Pelodiscus sinensis: one gene and its partner. The protein of the gene in region 2 purifies or fractionates together with the protein of the main gene of each other region. This does not show direct contact. Links are inferred from orthologs where the notes say so. Each region holds a gene or a part of one and is shown on either strand. Other genes may lie near its edges.

Region 1 (10,217 bases), on a different chromosome or scaffold from region 2:
AGGGCTGCAGGCTGCTGGGGCACTGGCGGGTTTGTACCAATGGAGAGTTACGAACGGTGCGAACGCAGGGCTGCAGGCTGCTGGGGCACTGGCGGGTTTGTACTAATGGAGAGTTACGAACGGTGCGAACGCAGGGCTGCAGGCTGCTGGGGCACTGGCGGGTTTGTACTAATGGAGAGTTACGCACGGTGCGAACGCAGGGCTGCAGGCTGCTGGGGCGCTGGCGGGTTTGTACTAATGGAGAGTTACGAACGGTGCGAACGCAGGGCTGCAGGCTGCTGGGGCACTGGCGGGTTTGTACTGAATGGAGAGTTACGAACGGTGCGAACGCAGGGCTGCAGGCTGCTGGGGCGCTGGCGGGTTTGTACTAATGGAGAGTTACGAACGGTGCGAACGCAGGGCTGCAGGCTGCTGGGGCGCTGGCGGGTTTGTACCAATGGAGAGTTACGAACGGTGCGAACGCAGGGCTGCAGGCTGCTGGGGCACTGGCGGGTTTGTACCAATGGAGAGTTACGAACGGTGCGAACGCAGGGCTGCAGGCTGCTGGGGCGCTGGCGGGTTTGTACTAATGGAGAGTTACGAACGGTGCGAACGCAGGGCTGCAGGCTGCTGGGGCGCTGGCGGGTTTGTACTAATGGAGAGTTACGAACGGTGCGAACGCAGGGCTGCAGGCTGCTGGGGCACTGGCGGGTTTGTACTAATGGAGAGTTACGAACGGTGCGAACGCAGGGCTGCAGGCTGCTGGGGCGCTGGCGGGTTTGTACCAATGGAGAGTTACGAACGGTGCGAACGCAGGGCTGCAGGCTGCTGGGGCACTGGCGGGTTTGTACTAATGGAGAGTTACGCACGGTGCGAACGCAGGGCTGCAGGCTGCTGGGGCGCTGGCGGGTTTGTACCAATGGAGAGTTACGAACGGTGCGAACGCAGGGCTGCAGGCTGCTGGGGCGCTGGCGGGTTTGTACTAATGGAGAGTTACGAACGGTGCGAACGCAGGGCTGCAGGCTGCTGGGGCGCTGGCGGGTTTGTACTAATGGAGAGTTACGAACGGTGCGAACGCAGGGCTGCAGGCTGCTGGGGCGCTGGCGGGTTTGTACTAATGGAGAGTTACGAACGGTGCGAACGCAGGGCTGCAGGCTGCTGGGGCACTGGCGGGTTTGTACTAATGGAGAGTTACGAACGGTGCGAACGCAGGGCTGCAGGCTGCTGGGGCGCTGGCGGGTTTGTACTAATGGAGAGTTACGCACGGTGCGAACGCAGGGCTGCAGGCTGCTGGGGCGCTGGCGGGTTTGTACTAATGGAGAGTTACGCACGGTGCGAACGCAGGGCTGCAGGCTGCTGGGGCGCTGGCGGGTTTGTACTAATGGAGAGTTACGCACGGTGCGAACGCAGGGCTGCAGGCTGCTGGGGCGCTGGCGGGTTTGTACTAATGGAGAGTTACGCACGGTGCGAACGCAGGGCTGCAGGCTGCTGGGGCACTGGCGGGTTTGTACCAATGGAGAGTTACGAACGGTGCGAACGCAGGGCTGCAGGCTGCTGGGGCGCTGGCGGGTTTGTACCAATGGAGAGTTACGCACGGTGCGAACGCAGGGCTGCAGGCTGCTGGGGCACTGGCGGGTTTGTACCAATGGAGAGTTACGCACGGTGCGAACGCAGGGCTGCAGGCTGCTGGGGCACTGGCGGGTTTGTACCAATGGAGAGTTACGAACGGTGCGAACGCAGGGCTGCAGGCTGCTGGGGCACTGGCGGGTTTGTACTAATGGAGAGTTACGAACGGTGCGAACGCAGGGCTGCAGGCTGCTGGGGCACTGGCGGGTTTGTACCAATGGAGAGTTACGCACGGTGCGAACGCAGGGCTGCAGGCTGCTGGGGCACTGGCGGGTTTGTACCAATGGAGAGTTACGAACGGTGCGAACGCAGGGCTGCAGGCTGCTGGGGCACTGGCGGGTTTGTACTAATGGAGAGTTACGAACGGTGCGAACGCAGGGCTGCAGGCTGCTGGGGCGCTGGCGGGTTTGTACCAATGGAGAGTTACGAACGGTGCGAACGCAGGGCTGCAGGCTGCTGGGGCGCTGGCGGGTTTGTACTAATGGAGAGTTACGAACGGTGCGAACGCAGGGCTGCAGGCTGCTGGGGCGCTGGCGGGTTTGTACCAATGGAGAGTTACGAACGGTGCGAACGCAGGGCTGCAGGCTGCTGGGGCACTGGCGGGTTTGTACTAATGGAGAGTTACGCACGGTGCGAACGCAGGGCTGCAGGCTGCTGGGGCGCTGGCGGGTTTGTACTAATGGAGAGTTACGCACGGTGCGAACGCAGGGCTGCAGGCTGCTGGGGCACTGGCGGGTTTGTACTAATGGAGAGTTACGAACGGTGCGAACGCAGGGCTGCAGGCTGCTGGGGCACTGGCGGGTTTGTACTAATGGAGAGTTACGCACGGTGCGAACGCAGGGCTGCAGGCTGCTGGGGCACTGGCGGGTTTGTACTAATGGAGAGTTACGCACGGTGCGAACGCAGGGCTGCAGGCTGCTGGGGCACTGGCGGGTTTGTACCAATGGAGAGTTACGAACGGTGCGAACGCAGGGCTGCAGGCTGCTGGGGCGCTGGCGGGTTTGTACTAATGGAGAGTTACGCACGGTGCGAACGCAGGGCTGCAGGCTGCTGGGGCACTGGCGGGTTTGTACTAATGGAGAGTTACGAACGGTGCGAACGCAGGGCTGCAGGCTGCTGGGGCGCTGGCGGGTTTGTACTAATGGAGAGTTACGAACGGTGCGAACGCAGGGCTGCAGGCTGCTGGGGCGCTGGCGGGTTTGTACTAATGGAGAGTTACGAACGGTGCGAACGCAGGGCTGCAGGCTGCTGGGGCGCTGGCGGGTTTGTACTAATGGAGAGTTACGAACGGTGCGAACGCAGGGCTGCAGGCTGCTGGGGCACTGGCGGGTTTGTACCAATGGAGAGTTACGAACGGTGCGAACGCAGGGCTGCAGGCTGCTGGGGCGCTGGCGGGTTTGTACTAATGGAGAGTTACGAACGGTGCGAACGCAGGGCTGCAGGCTGCTGGGGCGCTGGCGGGTTTGTACTAATGGAGAGTTACGCACGGTGCGAACGCAGGGCTGCAGGCTGCTGGGGCACTGGCGGGTTTGTACCAATGGAGAGTTACGCACGGTGCGAACGCAGGGCTGCAGGCTGCTGGGGCGCTGGCGGGTTTGTACTAATGGAGAGTTACGCACGGTGCGAACGCAGGGCTGCAGGCTGCTGGGGCACTGGCGGGTTTGTACCAATGGAGAGTTACGAACGGTGCGAACGCAGGGCTGCAGGCTGCTGGGGCGCTGGCGGGTTTGTACTAATGGAGAGTTACGAACGGTGCGAACGCAGGGCTGCAGGCTGCTGGGGCGCTGGCGGGTTTGTACTAATGGAGAGTTACGCACGGTGCGAACGCAGGGCTGCAGGCTGCTGGGGCACTGGCGGGTTTGTACCAATGGAGAGTTACGAACGGTGCGAACGCAGGGCTGCAGGCTGCTGGGGCACTGGCGGGTTTGTACTAATGGAGAGTTACGAACGGTGCGAACGCAGGGCTGCAGGCTGCTGGGGCGCTGGCGGGTTTGTACTAATGGAGAGTTACGCACGGTGCGAACGCAGGGCTGCAGGCTGCTGGGGCGCTGGCGGGTTTGTACCAATGGAGAGTTACGAACGGTGCGAACGCAGGGCTGCAGGCTGCTGGGGCGCTGGCGGGTTTGAAGGAAGCCGTCGCACGCCGGCCTGTGCCACCAGGGGCACTGCCCCAGTACGTGCCGCAGCGCGGGCCCCGGAGCCCGCAGCACCGACAGCGAGCGAGCGGCCTGGGCAGGCCTGCGAACGCCCCAGGCCCTAGGGCCGGGCCCCGCCTCAGGGCACCCGGGCTCCCCCAGCCAGGGAGACCCGGGCCGCCGCTGCCGGGCGGGGCGGGGCACAGGGGGACGCGCGCGCCCCCGCGCCGGTCAAGGGCACCCCGGGACAGGCGGAAAGCAACGAACCCGCCGCGGCAGGGAGCGGCTGACCCCGCCCAGCGCCGCAGCAAGGCCCCGGGCCCCGTTACCTCCGTGCGCTGGAGGAGCCGGCCGCCCCCGCCGCACCTATTCGGTCTTCTGAAGGCAGACGCTGCGCCTGAGCGCTCTCGCCCCGCTAATATGGCGGCCGCTTCGGCAACTTCCGTCACTCCCCGGAGATTCCATCGGCCATTTCCGTCAGTAGGGGCCTCGGCAACTTCCGTCACTCCCCGGAGATTCCATCGGCCATTTCCGTCAGTAGGGGCCTCGGCAACTTCCGTCACTCCCCGGAGATTCCATCGGCCATTTCCGTCAGTAGGGGCCTCGGCAACTTCCGTTACTCCCCGAAGGCTCCTTCGGCCATTTCCGTCACCAGTGCCGCTGATCGGTAACTTCCGTCAGTCCCCCGCTCAGTTCTGGTGATTTTCGAAAATCTTCGCGTTGTAGCCGAGGCGGAACCCCCCGAACATCCTCATTATTAGCCGTTCGCTATCTCCGTCCTCCGAGTGTCCCTCCCCATCCGCCCTGCTCCTGTGCTAAGTGGTGTGGCGGGGGATTATTTCCAGGTGCGTTCCCGCGGAGGGATAATGTCACGTCAGAGGCCCGTGCGGCGGAGGGATACCACGCACTCTCTATAAAACGGGAGCGGAGGGCTGCCTCTCTCTCTTTCTGCGGTGGGTGCCGGTCGGGTCTTGCGTCTGAGGGCTGTGACGACGACGGTACTCTCGCCGCCATGGGCTTCGGGGACCTCCGCTCCTCTGCCGGCCTCCGGCTCCTCAACGACTTCCTCGCTGACAAAAGCTACATCGAGGGGTGAGCGGCGCGCGGAGCCGTGAGGCGGCTGCCGCAGAACGGCCCCTCCCCCGCGAGCCCGGCCTGCTGGGATCTGGCGCGTGGCCTGCAGGTCGGCCTCGTGCCGCGTGGCCTGCGCGCGCTCGGACACCCCCCCCCCCCCAACAGCGGTTGAGTCCGTTGGGCCCAGGGCGGTGATGCACGAGCCGCCTGGCGGGTTCCCTGCGCCCCGGGGCGGGCGGGAAGCCTGCGGCGTGTGTTGCGCAGCGTGTCGTGCCTGGGATCGGCGCTGACTCGTGTTTTCTGCAGGCACGTGCCCTCGCAGGCGGACGTGGCGGTTTTCGAGGCCTTGTCCGCGCCACCCCCGGCTGACCTGTTCCACGCGCTGCGCTGGTACAAGCACATCCAGTCCTATGAGCGGCAAAAGGCCAGGTACCTCCAGCGGCTCCCGCGGAGCGCTCACTGATACGTGAGGGGCTAATCGCCGAGCGTCATCGTGTCTCCATGGGCTTGTAGCCAGCAGTTCTGTAGACAGGGACTTTGAACCCACGGGCTGTTCCTGGCCCAGCACACAGCTGAGCCCACAATGGTAAATAGGTGACGCTTATACCCCGACCGGATCATGGCCCAGTACAGATTCCCCCTACAATATGTACACCAGCTTCTCACTCCCCGCCCCATGTGTATCTTGAAATAGGAATTCTAGCAAACAAAATTACCAACTCTCATGTTGGGAGACCTTTCATTCACATGATCATCCTGAAATCTTAAAGTAAATTAAATAGTGACCTGCAGAAGCACCTGGAAATGTGAAAGCAAATGTATTCTTTTCTCTTTTAGTGAATTTAGTGCTCATGAAAGTTGCCGTATTGACAGCCATGGAGACTGAAGTCCTCTCTAGAAAAGGTACACCATAGGCAGCTTCAGTGTGTGCACTTTCCACACTGCCTCACCATTGTGCTTCAACCCTGTTTTGGGGGAGCCTCCTGTAGAGTTGAATTGTTCAGTCTCCTGACCTTTGGCTTTTTTGATGCTTCTGCTAACTGTATACCACTTGTGATGGTTTGTCTTGAAACTGGACAAAAGTTATAAGCTTATTTCATTAATCTCGCTACAAATTCTGACAACATCTAACTAGTACCAGTCTAGCAAAATTCAAAGTACAGGTTAATATAGAGGAACATAATCATGGAGGCTAGTGTTCTGTCACTGCAGTTTATCAGAAATAGCAATCTAATAAAATGCAAATAGACATAAAAGCTTAAGATAACATCATTTTGTCTTCGGTAGATACCTTCAGAATAATGAAGGTGCAAAGAAAGTCATAGTTAAATACACTAAGGTAGCTAAAGGAGGAGGCAGTAGAAAGGCTGAAATATATATATTTTCAAGCAATAGAGGGAGCTGTTTGCACTTCTGAAGTCCAGACTCAATTACAAACATAAAAGCAAATGCCTATTTGCAGCTGTGGAAGTAAGCAAGAGGTGTGTGTGGTGTGGACATGGGACAGCACTGGAGGCACAGTAGGTGGCCATGCAATCAGTGGCTATAGAAGTGACAGTTTTCCTTTCAAGGCACCACTTCTCTCCTGTTGGCTGTGTGGCTCTCCCTGCTCCAGAGTCCTCCAGCTTTGGGTGCAACCCCTGAGGTGAGATGGGTGGAGGATGTCCAGAAGTCCCCTTCAGAATTTCCATCTTCCTCATCCTCTAATTAAATCTGCCTTTCCATAAACACCAGCATTAAGGTTAAATAAACTATTTCTTGGTCAATTCTATTATTCTGATTGTTTAATTACTAGCATTGTTTCCTGTGCGGTTGGGTGTCTGCTTAGGAGAAATTCAAATGATGCTGAGCTGATTAGCAGAGCATCTGTTTGTTGGTGTAGATTTGCACATGCCTCAGTGCACATAAAATACTACACATGGATGGAAAAAATCTGCACACAGTGCAGATATGGATTACTAGTATATTTTGTGAATATAGTATTTCAGCTATATTATGGGTTAAGTAGGTTTTTGTGGGATAGCCTGGGAACCTAAAACCATTTTATAGCTTTCTATAGGAAAATGTGTTCAGAGTTGGGGCTTCCTGTATTTAGTTCCTAACAGGTTCCATTCGTTCTAAAACAACACAAGCCAGGTTGTGTTGATGTTAGGCACTAAAAAAGCTCATTCTCAAACAACTCCATAGCTAAAACACCAAAATCAATTAATTACCTGGTTACAAAACTAGCCTTACCACTGTACCTACCAAGCCACTAATTGATCCTCCACTGAAAACAAAGGTTTTCAAGAAATCATTTGGGTGGAAAGTGGAAGATTTATTTAATGATGCAATATAGTGTTAATTTTCAAGAACCACTAATCTTTCTCTGATCTATTGTCTCTTTTCTGCATGTTGTAAAAAGCAAAACTTACCAAATCACCCATGAACAAAATTCCAGACAAGTGGTTGCTGTTAGGTGCTATATTGTCGGAAATTCTGCTAGCAAGAGCAAAAGTAGTATGCCATTTAGCTGCCTATGCATGCGGGATTCACCATTATAATTGTCAATTTAATTATGTTGAGTGCACTTTTGGGACTGTTCTGGCTTCTCTCACTTTTGAAATTGTAGTATACTTGATTGCTATCACAAATAATCATTACTGGAGGTTCATTGATCTTAAATCTTTGTGTGTGAGATTAGGAGTGTAATATTTTGCCACTTGTTTTAGTTTGCCAGGAGTAAAGAAAGCTTTGGGGAAATATGGTCCTGCTGATGTTGAAGACGCTACAGCTGCAGCCACAGATAGCAAAGATGATGATGACATTGATCTCTTCGGATCAGAGGATGAGGAGGTACTGGCTAATCTTAAGCAACAAATGGTCTGGTAGCACTTTATAGACTAACAAAACATGTAGATGGTATCATGCGCTTTCGTGGCCACAGCCCACTTCTTCAGATGACTGGAATTATGAGTTTACGATGCCCAGACCTAAAATGAATGGGGGGAAGAGGGGGAGGAAGGGGCTAGGAGACACAGAGCAGAGGGTATGAAAATATCAAAGGGGGAAAAAAAGTAGGCAGAACTGGTAACCTATAAGCCCAATCTTTAGGTGTAGTTAAAAGCAGCAGACAAGAATCATAGGATAGCAATTAGATAGGAAGGGTACCAACACCAGAAAATACACACAGAGCTGTTGGCACCTTCATTCATAGAGACCTCAGAAGGCCATCAAGTCCAGCCCCCCGCCCAAGGCAGGACCAATCCCAATTAAATCAACCTAGCCAGGGCTTTGTCAAGCCGAGACTTAAACACCTCTAGGGATAAAGACTCCCCCTACTTCCCTAGGTAACCCATTCCAGTGCTTCACCACCCTCCTAGTGAAATAGTTTTTCCTAATATCCAACCTGGACCTCTCCCCACCGCAACTTGAGACCATTGCTCCTTGTTCTGCCATCCATCACTACTATGAACAGCCTTTCTCCAGCCTCTTTGGAACCTCCCTTCGGGAAGTTGAAGGCTCCTATCAAATCCCCCCTCACTCTTCTCTTTTGCAGACTAAACAGACCCAACTCCCTCAGTCTTTCCTTGTAAGTCATGTGCTCCAACCCCCTAATCATTTAGTTGCCCTCCGCTGGACCCTCTCCAATGCATCCAGATCCTTTCTGTAATTAGGGGCCCAGAACTGGACACAGTATTCCAGATGTGGCCTCACCAGAGCCGAATAAAGAGGAATAATCACATCTCTGGATCTACTGGCAACGTTCCTCTTAATGCAACCTAATATGCCATTAGCCTTCTTGGCTACATGGGCACACCATTGACTTATATCCAGCTTCTCATCCACTGTAATCCCCTGGTCCTTTTTTTGCAAAACTGCTACTTAGCCAGTTGGTCCCCTCCAGCCTGTACCAATGCTTTGGATTCTTCCATCCCAAGTGCAGGACTCTACACTTGTCCTTGTTGAACCTCATCAGATTTCTTGTGGCCCAATCCTCCAATTTGTCTAAGTCATTTTGGACCCTATCTCTGCCCTCCAGCGTATCTGCCTCTCCCCCTAGAGCTTAGTGTCATCTGCAAACTTGCTGAGGGTGCAATCCATCTCTTCATCCAGGTCACTAATAAAGATGTTGAACAAAAATGGTCCCAGAACTGAACCTTGGGGCACTCCACTAGCACCATCCTGACATCAAGCCATTGATCATTACCTGCTGGGCCCAACCTTCCAGCTAGCTTTCTATCCATTGTACCATCCATTTGTCCAATCCACGTTCCCTTAACTTGCTGGCAAGAATATTGTGGGAGACCATATCAAAAGCCTTGCTAAAATCAAGGTATTAATTGATCTGGAGCATGTGCGAGGCTTCCAGGCAAGGACCGAGCGTTGGGCAGTCAGGCGAAACGCCCCGTGTATGTCAGGGTACTGACTTGGTAACCATTTATCACATCCAGTGACTTTCCCATATCTACAGAGCCAGTTACCTCATCATAGAAGCTAATCAGATTGAATGTTAGGCTGAATAATGTCCAAGCCATTGCTTATCTCGATTGAGGAGGTTATCAGTGTGAGAATTGAATTTGTGGATGTATTGTAATTCCAACGCCTCTGTGTATTTGGCTTGTAGAATTAGTTTGTGACAAGACAGCCACCTGGAGAGCTTTTAAAGAGTGTTTAGGTAGATTGAAGTGTTGTCCTACAGGTTTCTGTATTTCCTTTACATATATCTGATTTGTGTCCATTGGGGGGTGGGTGGGTGGGTGGGTGTGTGTGTGTGTCCATTGATAGATATAAAAAAATATAGTGCAGTGGGGCATCGCTGGCATTTGATGGCATAGATCAAATTACTGGATGTGCAATTAAATGAGTCTTTGACTCGGTAGCTTATGTTGTTGTCTCCAGTACTGAAGAGATTATTTTTAGAAATAGACTTGTGATTTTAGGTTCTCATTAGTTTTCTTCTTTTTGTATTTAAAATATCATAATTAAATTGAAATAGTACATTTCTGGTGTATATCACGGCCCTGAAATTCATTTGACTTTGAATGCTTAACAGGAAAGAACATGTGAGGAGGTAAATAGCTAATTGGGTAGAGAAGAGCAATTTATTGTAATAGGCATGAATGTGACTCCGCTGTTATGCATTACAAACTACGCTTAATCTTTGTCACAAAGGTGGTAGGAGTTTTGTAAACTTGCTAGAGCAAGTTTGTATGAAGTGTCTGTCTGACTGGTAACATGATGAATAAAACCAAATCACCATCTTTCGGCTGATCTTGTGATGATTTGTTTTTACCTGACCAAAAGCCAGTCTAATTTTATTAGTGGATAAAGTGTGTCTGTCTTTGCCTTGGTGTGAATCTGTTTTTTCTTTTTCAGGAAAGTGAAGAATCAAAGAGACTGAGAGAAGAGCGTCTTGCTCAG
Region 2 (10,217 bases):
TGCCACAGCCCCACGCCAGGGACTATAGAATAGTCGACTAACCAATAAGAATGTATGAGGTTACTCAACTATTCAATTAACCGATATTTAACATCCCTACTTTGGGCAGGGGGCTGGACTCGATGACCTCCAGAGGTCTCTTCCAACCCTAAGATTTGGTATGAAAGTTAATATTGCTGTATAACAGTTTATCCTCTCTAAGTTAACTGTGTTATGTTCTGCTACTGTGCTCTGTTTGGTCCACTGCCATCAGAGTCAATGGAAAAATCTCCATGAACTTCAGCAGACACCGGATCAATGCCTTCATTAGATAGTTGCCATGTTCCCTCCCGGAGGTGGTGACGTGATTCCCCTGTGCACGATTTGTGCAGCACAAAGTACTGATGGAGGGCACACCGCGTACATAGATTTCTGTTGGGGATGACTTTGCAGTCAGGCACTGAGGGTGATGGGTATAGTCCTATAATGGTTGAATAAACCTACTGCTTGCTACAAGGAAATAAACAGCCACATCGTGCAAACAAAAAGCCTGCCTCCTCTGAATTTCCATGCACTCCTGAAGGTTCTAACAAATTCAGATTATAATCAGGATCTTTCCAAGTTTGCACACTAATTTGTCTAGCTCATTATTACAAATGGAAAAGGATGGGGTTATTCTTCATGCAAATAATTATTGTGCGAAATAGGGTGGCTACGTCAGATAAATGTAGTAGATAAATTATTTAAGCTAGTGGATAATAATCCATCACTTTTATAAAGCACTTTTCACACATTGACCTCAACGTGCTTTTCAAGAGATGGCGAGTATCAACAGCCCCACTTCACAGATGAACAAACTGAGGTAGAGAGAGAGGAAAATCACAGGAGGAGCTGAGAAGATACCTCAGGTCTCCACGCTCACAGACCACTACCCTGCTTGTGTACCATGCTGCTTGACAAACTATCCCTTCTCAGAAGAGCATCTGGGGATATGAATCTAGTCTAAACATATTTGGGATGGTTTTGACCAGTGTTCCCTCTAAACTGTGCACTTGTGCTGCTGCTCAGGAGAGATATCCATGCCACCCAGCTGATTAGCAGAGCATCCACAGCTAGGTTTGTGTTTATCCTGGTGGTGCACATTTGCACATGCCTCGGTGCACATGACAAAATTTATTCTGTATAGGTATGGAAAAGATTAGAGGGAACATTGGTGCTGCTCCTCAGCTCTATAGACCATGCAACTGTGCCTTCTTATTTGAGACCTCACAACATCCCCCCTCATTCAGAAAAAGAGACAGTTGAGAATTATCAGAGAGGGTTATTTGCTTATCCCCCTCTCCAAAAGAAAAGATGGGGAGAGGGGGCTGGTCTTTCCAAATTAGAGCTGGGTCACACTAAAACTTGCAATGTCATGCATAGCTTCAAGGCAAATGTCAGCCTTTATTTAACAAACACATCTCTGCCCCCCCCCCCCCCCCCCCGCCTACTCCCTAGGTCCCTTTCACTGTGTATCTTCAATTACCCAGAGCTGGTGTAGAAAAAAACCTGTATTATCTAGCTTTGCACAATGACTCCACTGTTAAGTACCAGAAACTGCCTGATATTTCTCGATTAAGCTAAGCATCAAGGACAGTTATGTTCTGAGATCAAAAATAAAAAATAAATAAAGAAACCTTCTAAGCTACAACCTCTGTATGCTCTCCTTTTATCTTTTGTCCTTAAAAAAAATGTATCAGCCATGAGGGAGAGGGGGAATGAGAGCAATGCTGGTTGTTGTTTTGTTTTTTTATTCATGCAGGCCTCCATTTCCTCCTAATGCAACTTAGTGAAAGAAAAACCCTCCACAACCCTGCATCAGAAAATGGAGTCTGAAAGCTCAGTCAATAGGCTATTAATAGCAGCTTCTAGCCCCTGCATATTCTGGCAAGTCAGTGAAAGTGTCCGTTCCATGAAAGTGGCTGCAGTCACATCTAGAACAACCTAATTATACCGAGTCTCCCTCATCAGTACAGGACAAAAATATCTATGCAAATAGCACAGTCCGTTTTCCAACCGAATTAAGATACAGGGTGCAGCTTACTGAGAAAGCTGCAAAGAGAACTGATGACAAAGTACAGAAAAAGGTGGTTGATCCTGGGTGTTGTTCCATAAATGAAAAGGGTTAAGAGACTGTTAGCAAAATGTCTGTTCAAGACTGGCAGCTCTAAAAGTGCTGGCATTTTTTGTATTACACATGTTGAATTAAGAAAAATTAAAGTATCTAGGCATGAAAAACAAATTTGTGAAGGCCACAGACATTTTACAGCAATGCATTAAGGTTCCCAATATGGTTCATTTCACAAGAATTTCCTATTGCCATGTTTCAAGTTCTTTTAACTTAAAAAGGTCATTCTGCAATGGTATTTCTTCCCTTTTACTCGATGCATTTGCCCTTGTTATATATTTTGTCTTTGTATGTAGTATGATGAAAGACAAATAAATGTATTTATCATTATACTGCTATTATTATGGTCTTTATAAAAAAAAGAAATAATACAATTAAATGAAGGCACATATTTCAAACCAGATTTTCTACCTTGACAGCTACTGCCAAAGCTATACACGAGATCCTAAACCCAGGAATGTAAATGGATTTTACAAGATTGGGTCAGACCATCTAGCCCAGTATCTTATCTCCAACAATGGCCAATGACAGCTGATTCAGAATGCCATTCAAGAAATACAGCAGAAGGCAGTAATGGAAAAATGTATTCCTAGAGAAAACTTCCTTCTAGCTCCCAATATTTAGATGTTGGCAGGGGTGGGGAACCTCAGTCCCAGGGGCCAGATGCAGCCCTCGGCTTACCTGGACCCTCCAGCATTGGAGAGCCTGTGCTGGCACTCCCGTCCCTTCTCCCCTTATCCCCCATTGCCCTACCACGGGGCTGGAGCACACAAAATCTACTAGCCTGGGCCCCCTAGGTTCTGATGTGCAAGGGGAGCATGGGGAGTGTCTTTCTCCTCAGCTGGGGGTTCAGTTTTTTTTTTTTCCTTTTTCCTTCTCACTTGTGTGCAGCCCCTGTCTGATTTTACTGTGACTCAGCAACCCCCAACCCAAAAAAGGTTCCCCACCCCTGCCTTACAGCATGAACATTTATCTCCCTTCCAGAATCTTTATTCTTTACAGTTAGAACTTGTTAGCTCTGTACAATGGCCAATATATAGAATGTGGCAATGAATGCCACAGTCCGCTGCAAAACCCAAAGGAAAACGTGCCAATGCCAAAATGTCCTCTCTTCCCAAGGCCAGAGAAGTTGGAAAGGCCCAGAAGCAAAGCGATACAGAGCGAATAGGAACAATGGGTGGGCCAAGGAGTAGAGGGAAGGTAGAGGAAGGGCACAGGGAGAAGGGAAGGAATATACTGTAGGGAACAATCCTGCACTGGCAGGGAACGGATTGGATAATCTACAGGGCTTGTCCATCACTCATTCGTTGAGGAAGAGACAGAGGGGAAGGGTCATAGGCCTCACCTCAGCAGCTTCCTTCTCAAATTTCTCAATGGTCCTTTTGTCGATGCCCCCACATTTGTAGATGAGGTGCCCCGTGGTGGTGGATTTCCCAGAGTCCACATGTCCAATGACGACGATGTTGATATGTGTCTTCTCCTTCCCCATCCTCGCGGGTGATGCTGGAAAGGTCCGAGGCTAGCAGAGGCGTGGAAGCAAAGCTGTTTTCCGTGGAGGCTGGGGAGGGACAGACAAGAACATCAAGAGGCTCTGACAAGCAACAAGACCCAGGGCCACCAGGCCTCCTCAGCAGCCTCACCCACAATGACAAACCACATTTAACTATTCAGACACATTTGTACCTTCTGCCTGCTGAATGGATGCACTCTGCTCAGAGACCAGCACACTAGCTGTAGCCAGACCGGGTCAGGTGCGTCTGTCCACCTCCCTTGTCTGTGGCAGTGATGGAAAGCGCCTGCATGCTTCTGGAGTGGCTGAGGCGAACCCCCTTCCTTTTCCCATTCTGCATGCTGGGTAAACCCCGCTGAGCCCCATACAAGTCGCCATCTTTTCAGCCTGTGCAGCTAGGTCTGACTGCTGCCCCTCCCCCGCAGAGACTGCCCATTCAAAATGACATATCATAGGAGCCCCAAACATGTTACCCTACTTAGCCCTTGAACCATGGACAATGTGGGGTGGTACCCCAGAGGTGCATTGCTCCCCTATGTCCCTGCCTAGATGTTGATTGCTAAATGGGGTGCGCCCTCCCTGCTCCTCTGTGTGGCTCTCCCTGCACCCTCCCTCCCTGGCAAGCACCAGTTGCCTATGCCTTGAACCCTGCCAGACTGGCAGCTCCCCCCTCTGCCTTGTGTCCAGGAGGGTTGCTACTCATTTATTCTGGGTGCTTCTATGTCAAAAATTCCCACTGGTTACTAGGCACTGCCTCCATTTCATGCAGTGCTCGGCTCTGGGCGTCCGTTCTTGCCTAGGCTTGTTGATATTCAATTCCACTCTGGCTGCTCCACTGAAACCTCCCAGAGGGCTCATGATCAGGTGGGCAATATGGTGCCCACAAAAGGGAATGGACAAAAATAACCCAGGCTCAGCCCTCTCTTTCCCTGGAAGCTTGCAGAACACTCAGCCATGCCACCAGGGCACGCAGCCGCGAGTTTTCTTCCTTTTCTTCCTCCCCACAAGATCCAATGGAAGAGGTGTGCAAAGAGGGTCTAAAAGCAAGACATCCAGTGATCTGCCTCCGCATTTCCCAGGATCCTGTGGCTTTGCACCTTGCACCACTAACCCAGCAGCATAGGAGCCTAGGAGTTTGTTGCCTAATCAAATCCAGTTTCACATATCTGCCCTTAAAGGCAAAAGAGGCCGGGGGGAAAGTTTTCTGGTATCATACAGATTCCATCATGCACTCAGTTATACCCCCCTCGGAGCAACCTGCCAGGGGGCAAACCCCTCCCCTCCCCCCTCCTTTCTTCACCCTTCACTGACCTGGCTCATCGCATTTTGGAAACTGCATCCCTAATGCTAATGCCTGTAGATAAGCGAACCAAAATGCAGGCAGCTCTTTCCTGGGTGTGCATCCCTCGCCTCCAGCGGCAATCCGCTGAGGAGGAGAAGCCCCCAGGATGAAAGATGCTAAGCGCTTTTATTTGCAAAGGGGGGGGAGGAGGGCCAGGCATTTGGGGCAGAAAAAGCTAGGGATTTGCAATCCAGGGAACGGCCAAAACCCGCGCCGCAGACAACACCTGCTGGCGACCCAACCTCCCCTCGCGGCCCCCCTCCCTCTGGGTTATTTTTAAACCCGGATTGCCCCGGACCTGGCTAGCTCAAAGCGGCCAGGGTCTAATTCTCCGTTTCTTAAGCCTCCCCACGCACCCGGCTCCCCGCACGCAGACCCGGCCGCGCTGCAAAGCCCGAATGCCTGGCCTCGCCTTGCCTGGGGAGGGGGCCCCACAAGGTCACCCCCAGCCGCTGCCCCCCCATTGAACCCCACAACCCCCTCCCCCAGCCGCTGCCCCCCCCATTGAACCCCACAACCCCCTCCCCCAGCCGCTGCCCCCCCATTGAACCCCACAACCCCCTCCCCCAGCCGCTGCCCCCCCATTGAACCCCACAACCCCTCCCCCAGCCGCTGCCCCCCCCATTGAACCCCACAACCCCCTCCCCCAGCCGATGCCCCCCCATTGAACCCCACAACCCCTCCCCCAGCCGATGCCCCCCCATTGAACCCCACAACCCCCTCCCCCAGCCGCTGCCCCCCCATTGAACCCCACAACCCCCTCCCCCAGCCGATGCCCCCCCATTGAACCCCACAACCCCTCCCCCAGCCGATGCCCCCCCCATTGAACCCCACAACCCCCTCCCCCAGCCGCTGCCTACCCATTGAACCCCACAACCCCCTCCCGCAGCCGCTGCCCCCCCCATTGAACCCCACAACCCCCTCCCCCAGCCGCTGCCCCCCATTGAACCCCACAACCCCCTCCCCCAGCCTGGGGGGCCGCCCCCAAGCGAGCTGGGAGGAGACACGCCCGCCGGCCGCAGGGACAGTGCCCGGAGCACCCCCGCGGCTCCCCCCTGCGCCCCCCGGGCCGCCCAGCCCCCCAGCCCCGGCAGGGCTCGGAGCCCGCTGCCCGGCTCTTACCGCTGTCGGCGCCGGGCTCAGACAGCAGAGGCTGCCCGCTTCGGCTCCGGCGGCTTTATCTCCCTGGCAGGGGGTCCCCCTATTGCCAGTGCCGGCGCAATGCAGTGCCCCCCTGCGCTACAGCAATGCGGTACCGAGCGGGGCGGAGCCGGGCGGAGGGGCAGGGCGCCGGGGAGGGGGGGGCGGCAGCTGATGGGGGGGGGGTCGGAGGAAGAGAAAAATAGAGAGGGGTGGGGGAGCTGGAGAAGGGGAGGGGAGAGGAGGGATGGGGAGGGAGGGCAGATGGGGGAGGGGGCACGGCAGGGTTGGCAGGTGATGGGGGGGTCAGAGGAGGGGAGAGGAAGATAAAATAGAGGGTGGGATGGGGAGGGGGACTAGAGAGAGGGGAGATGGGGAGGGGAGAGGCGGGATGGGGAGGGAGGGCAGATGGGGGAGGGGGCACGGCAGGGTTGGCAGGTGATGGGGGGTCAGAGAAGGGGAGAGGAAGATAAAATAGAGGGTGGGATGGGGAGGGGGACTAGAGAGAGGGGAGATGGGGAGAGGAGAGGAGGGATGGGGAGGGAGGGCAGATGGGGGAGGGGGCACGGCAGGGTTGGCAGGTGATGGGGGGTCAGAGGAGGGGAGAGGAAGATAAAAATAGAGGGTGGGATGGGGAGGGGGAACTAGAGAGAGGGAGATGGGGAGGGGAGAGGAGATGGGGTAATGGGATGGGGATTAAGAGAAGAGGGGAGGGAGCAGATGGGGGGACACACTGGCAGGTAATGGGGGGATTAGGGTCAGTGGAGAGGAAGATAAAAACAAAGGTTGAGAGATGGGGAGGGAGGACAGATAGGGAGGGGGACACAGCAGGGATGGCAGGTAATTGGGGGGAGTTAGAGAAGGGGAGAGGGTGGGATGGGGAGGGGGCTCTAGAGAGAGGCGAGATGAGGAGATGGGGGAATGGGATTGGAGGAGGTGGGGGAGATGGAAGGGAGGAGAGGGAGATAGGGGAGATGGGGGGGCACAGCAGGTACAGCAAGAGAAGGGGGTTAGAGGAAAAGAAAAATAGAGGGTGGGGAGGGGAGCTAGAGATTGGGGAAAAGGGAAGAGGAGACTGGGGCAGGAGGGGGAGGGGAGGGGAAGAGAAAAATTAAGGTTGTGGGATGGGAAGGGAGAGGAGATGGGGAGGGAGGACAGATGGAGGAGGAGGGCACAGCGGGGATGGCAGGTAATGGGGGGGTCAGAGGAGGGGAGAGGAGAGAAAAATAAAGGGTGGGTTGGGGAGGAGCAGCTAGAGAGAGGGGAGATGAGGAGATGGGGGAATGGGATGGGGGATATGGGGAGATGAAGAGGGACACATGGGGGGACACAGCGGGGATGACAGGAGAGTGGGGGGTCAGAGGAGGGCTGGGAAACCAAGGGCAGTGTCTTGCAGTGGGGCAGCGGAGGGGTGCAGGCCGGTGAGGAGGCTCGGAGTTCTATCCGGCTGCAGGCTGGCCAAGTCAGGCCACGCAGGAATATTTGCACCATGTGCCAGCCAGCCACTAACCCCGGGAGAAGGAAGGCTGGGCCCGGGTATGACAGCAAGTGGGGCAGAGTGACAAGTGCCATTAGCACTAGTCATCTGGCTGGGCTCAGGATCCAGGGGTGTCCCAATCGGGGACAAGCTGGAGGGCTCAGAACATTATTGAGGATGAGCCTCCGCATCGCTGAAACCAGCCGGAAGAGACAGCAGCGAGGCTGAGGGCAGAGCGGGCCCGAGGAGAGAACTTCTCACCAGCCTTGAGGTGGCCGGCCCCAGTCAGGATGTAGACACATGGGGCTGTTCTCTGGCTCCCAACGTGACTCCCTTTGGAAACCTCAGTTCACAGGAGAAAGAGAGGTTTGCTTTTGCTTGGCACCACCGAAGCTCCTGGCTGGATTGCTGAAGCGCTGATGTCCCTGGGCCCTTTTGGAGGAGGCCGCGTTTCCCCGCAACGCTGCGGGACATAGCGAACTGCCTAAGTGGGAGCTGAAGGCCTCATTACATATTAGCAGTGATTGATACTCACCACCCAGGAGAGGCTATTGCCGTTACAAATTGAATTCTGGCAGTAATCACCAGGCTGTCATTTCAGTCTCTTTCCAAATTCATTTTACCCCATCCATCACTTTGGAGAGGATACCAAGGCTGGACCGACCTGATTAGATTGCAAATTCACCTCAGTGGCCAGGAAGTAGGCCTCGAGGCTGCCATGTTAGTGGTGGGAGCAAGTGTGCTGGAGAGGGACAGCAGATACCTGCAGAGAAAAGTTACAGGATAAGGAAACTTTTACAATGGATTTCTTCAGAGGGAGGGAAAGCTAGAATTGTAACTACTACCACAGAGGGGCAACCAGAGCTCTGATGAGAAAGGCATGTTCAGGTTTGCTTGGCCTATTTGGAAGGGGAAAGAAAACATTTCTTCCTAGATTTGCATAACAGGGTTTCACCAGGGCTTATAAGTAATAATAATCATACCTAGCTTTTTCATATAGAACTCTTCATCAGTAGATCTCAAAGCAAGTCGCAATATTTAGTGTGTGTATCCTCACAACAGCCATGGGAGGGAGGGAAATGCTGTTATCCCATTGTACAGATGGGGAACTGAGGCAGAGAGGCCTAGGTAACTTGGCCAAGCAGTACAGATAAGGTTTTGGATTCATCAAATGTTAGTGTTTCTAGTGTTTAAAGCAGGGGACTGAGGGTTAGGACTTTTGGTCTCTAGCCTAGTCTTTGCTACTGATTAGCTATATGACCTTGGGCAAGTCATTTAACTTCTCTGTGCCTCAGTTTGCCCATCCTTAAAATGGGGCTAATGATTATTTGGGTCAAAAACTGCTTTGGGAATAATTAAATCCTTGTATAGCCCTCCTAAACATTCCGGTGAAACGTCTAATTATTAGATTCAACACCTGTCATTTAACAATGTCATCAACGTTCATTATTATAGCAGGAAACACCAAGGCTTATCAGCAAATGAACAAATAAAGCAAAATGTGCATAAATACCTGTGTTGATTCAGCTGATATGAATATTGCTTTATCAAACATAAAAAGCTGTGTTTGATATGATGAGTCTATGAGAAGTGGTTAAAGCTCTGATGGCAGAAATATCTCGTAAATACTCTCTTCTTGTGCAGTTACTTGATATGGTACTTGCCTGAGAAATACCATGTGGTTGCCAGAATATTTACAGAATGAGCTATGCAATTGTAAGAATAATGCAGACAATTTCTAATGTAAAGCTAGAGGACAGGTTAAAAGGTAATTAGTTGTGACCTAAACAAAATACTAACTAAGCAGGATTTTTAGGGCATAGACCCATCATTTTGTTCTGTGTTTGTACTGCTAGCTCAATAGGATCCTGTCCATGCCTGGGCCTCCTATGTACTAGCACAATTACAATAACAACAAATAGTGCATATACCACATTTTACCAGCTCAACCTGATGTTTTTAACTTGTATCATTTAAGGGTTAAAGAATATCTGTACCAGGTAACTTACAGTAGTCCTATCCTACAATAATTTATTGTACAGGAGTCATATTATGGTTCTATTATATTTTAATCTGCATTCTATTAATATTTTAGAACCACGATAGATCACAAAATTATATATGAGATGCCATTTCTTTTCATATATAAAATATAATGCAGTGAGGCTCACGTGTCAACCAGAAAAGATGGCTGTCAGGCAAGATTTAGAAGGCCCAGTTCAGACCAGTCATCGGGTCTGAATTTGTCCCAGTGAGTGTAAATGATATAGATTATTCATAAAGGATTAATAATATAGACACATTTGAGTAAAGTGGACACAACCCCATAGCCTTTAGTGATGAATTTGGCTCATTAGGTGAAATCCTGATCCCACTTAAGTCAATGGCAGAACTACTGACTTAAATGGAATCAGAATGTCTGCCATTATGTGCAGTAGATGGAAGAATAAACTGAACGCCAGGCATCCTTTCTTGTCTGAGTAGCAGTACGTTCTATGCACGAGGCCCTTGTTCTCACCATCTGTGCCTTACTGCCTCTGTTTTGCAGGGAAATAGCCTCTCTTTCACTCCTTTATACCAGCGAATCGATGAGACATAGTCT

What was found.
Region 1: the proteins of EEF1A2 (region 2) and EEF1B2 purify together in Homo sapiens (co-immunoprecipitation; 4 studies listed by BioGRID and IntAct, counting the BioPlex papers as one, with this or other methods). This does not show direct contact. The link is inferred for Pelodiscus sinensis from reciprocal best matches to the Homo sapiens genes EEF1A2 and EEF1B2.

What each region holds. Positions count from the first base shown.
Region 1 is NC_134717.1:75,104,581-75,114,797, forward strand, and holds the start of EEF1B2 (elongation factor 1-beta), read left to right. Parts: upstream 1-4,672; 5' UTR 4,673-4,752; coding exon 4,753-4,832; intron 4,833-5,120; coding exon 5,121-5,243; intron 5,244-7,525; coding exon 7,526-7,649; intron 7,650-10,023; exon of another isoform or gene 10,024-10,100; intron 10,101-10,172; coding exon 10,173-10,217. UniProt on the Homo sapiens protein: Catalytic subunit of the guanine nucleotide exchange factor (GEF) (eEF1B subcomplex) of the eukaryotic elongation factor 1 complex (eEF1).
Region 2 is NC_134728.1:5,852,566-5,862,782, reverse strand, and holds the start of EEF1A2 (elongation factor 1-alpha 2), read right to left. Parts: upstream 6,277-10,217; 5' UTR 6,121-6,276; intron 5,100-6,120; exon of another isoform or gene 4,968-5,099; intron 3,705-4,967; 5' UTR 3,636-3,704; coding exon 3,492-3,635; intron 1-3,491. UniProt on the Homo sapiens protein: Translation elongation factor that catalyzes the GTP-dependent binding of aminoacyl-tRNA (aa-tRNA) to the A-site of ribosomes during the elongation phase of protein synthesis.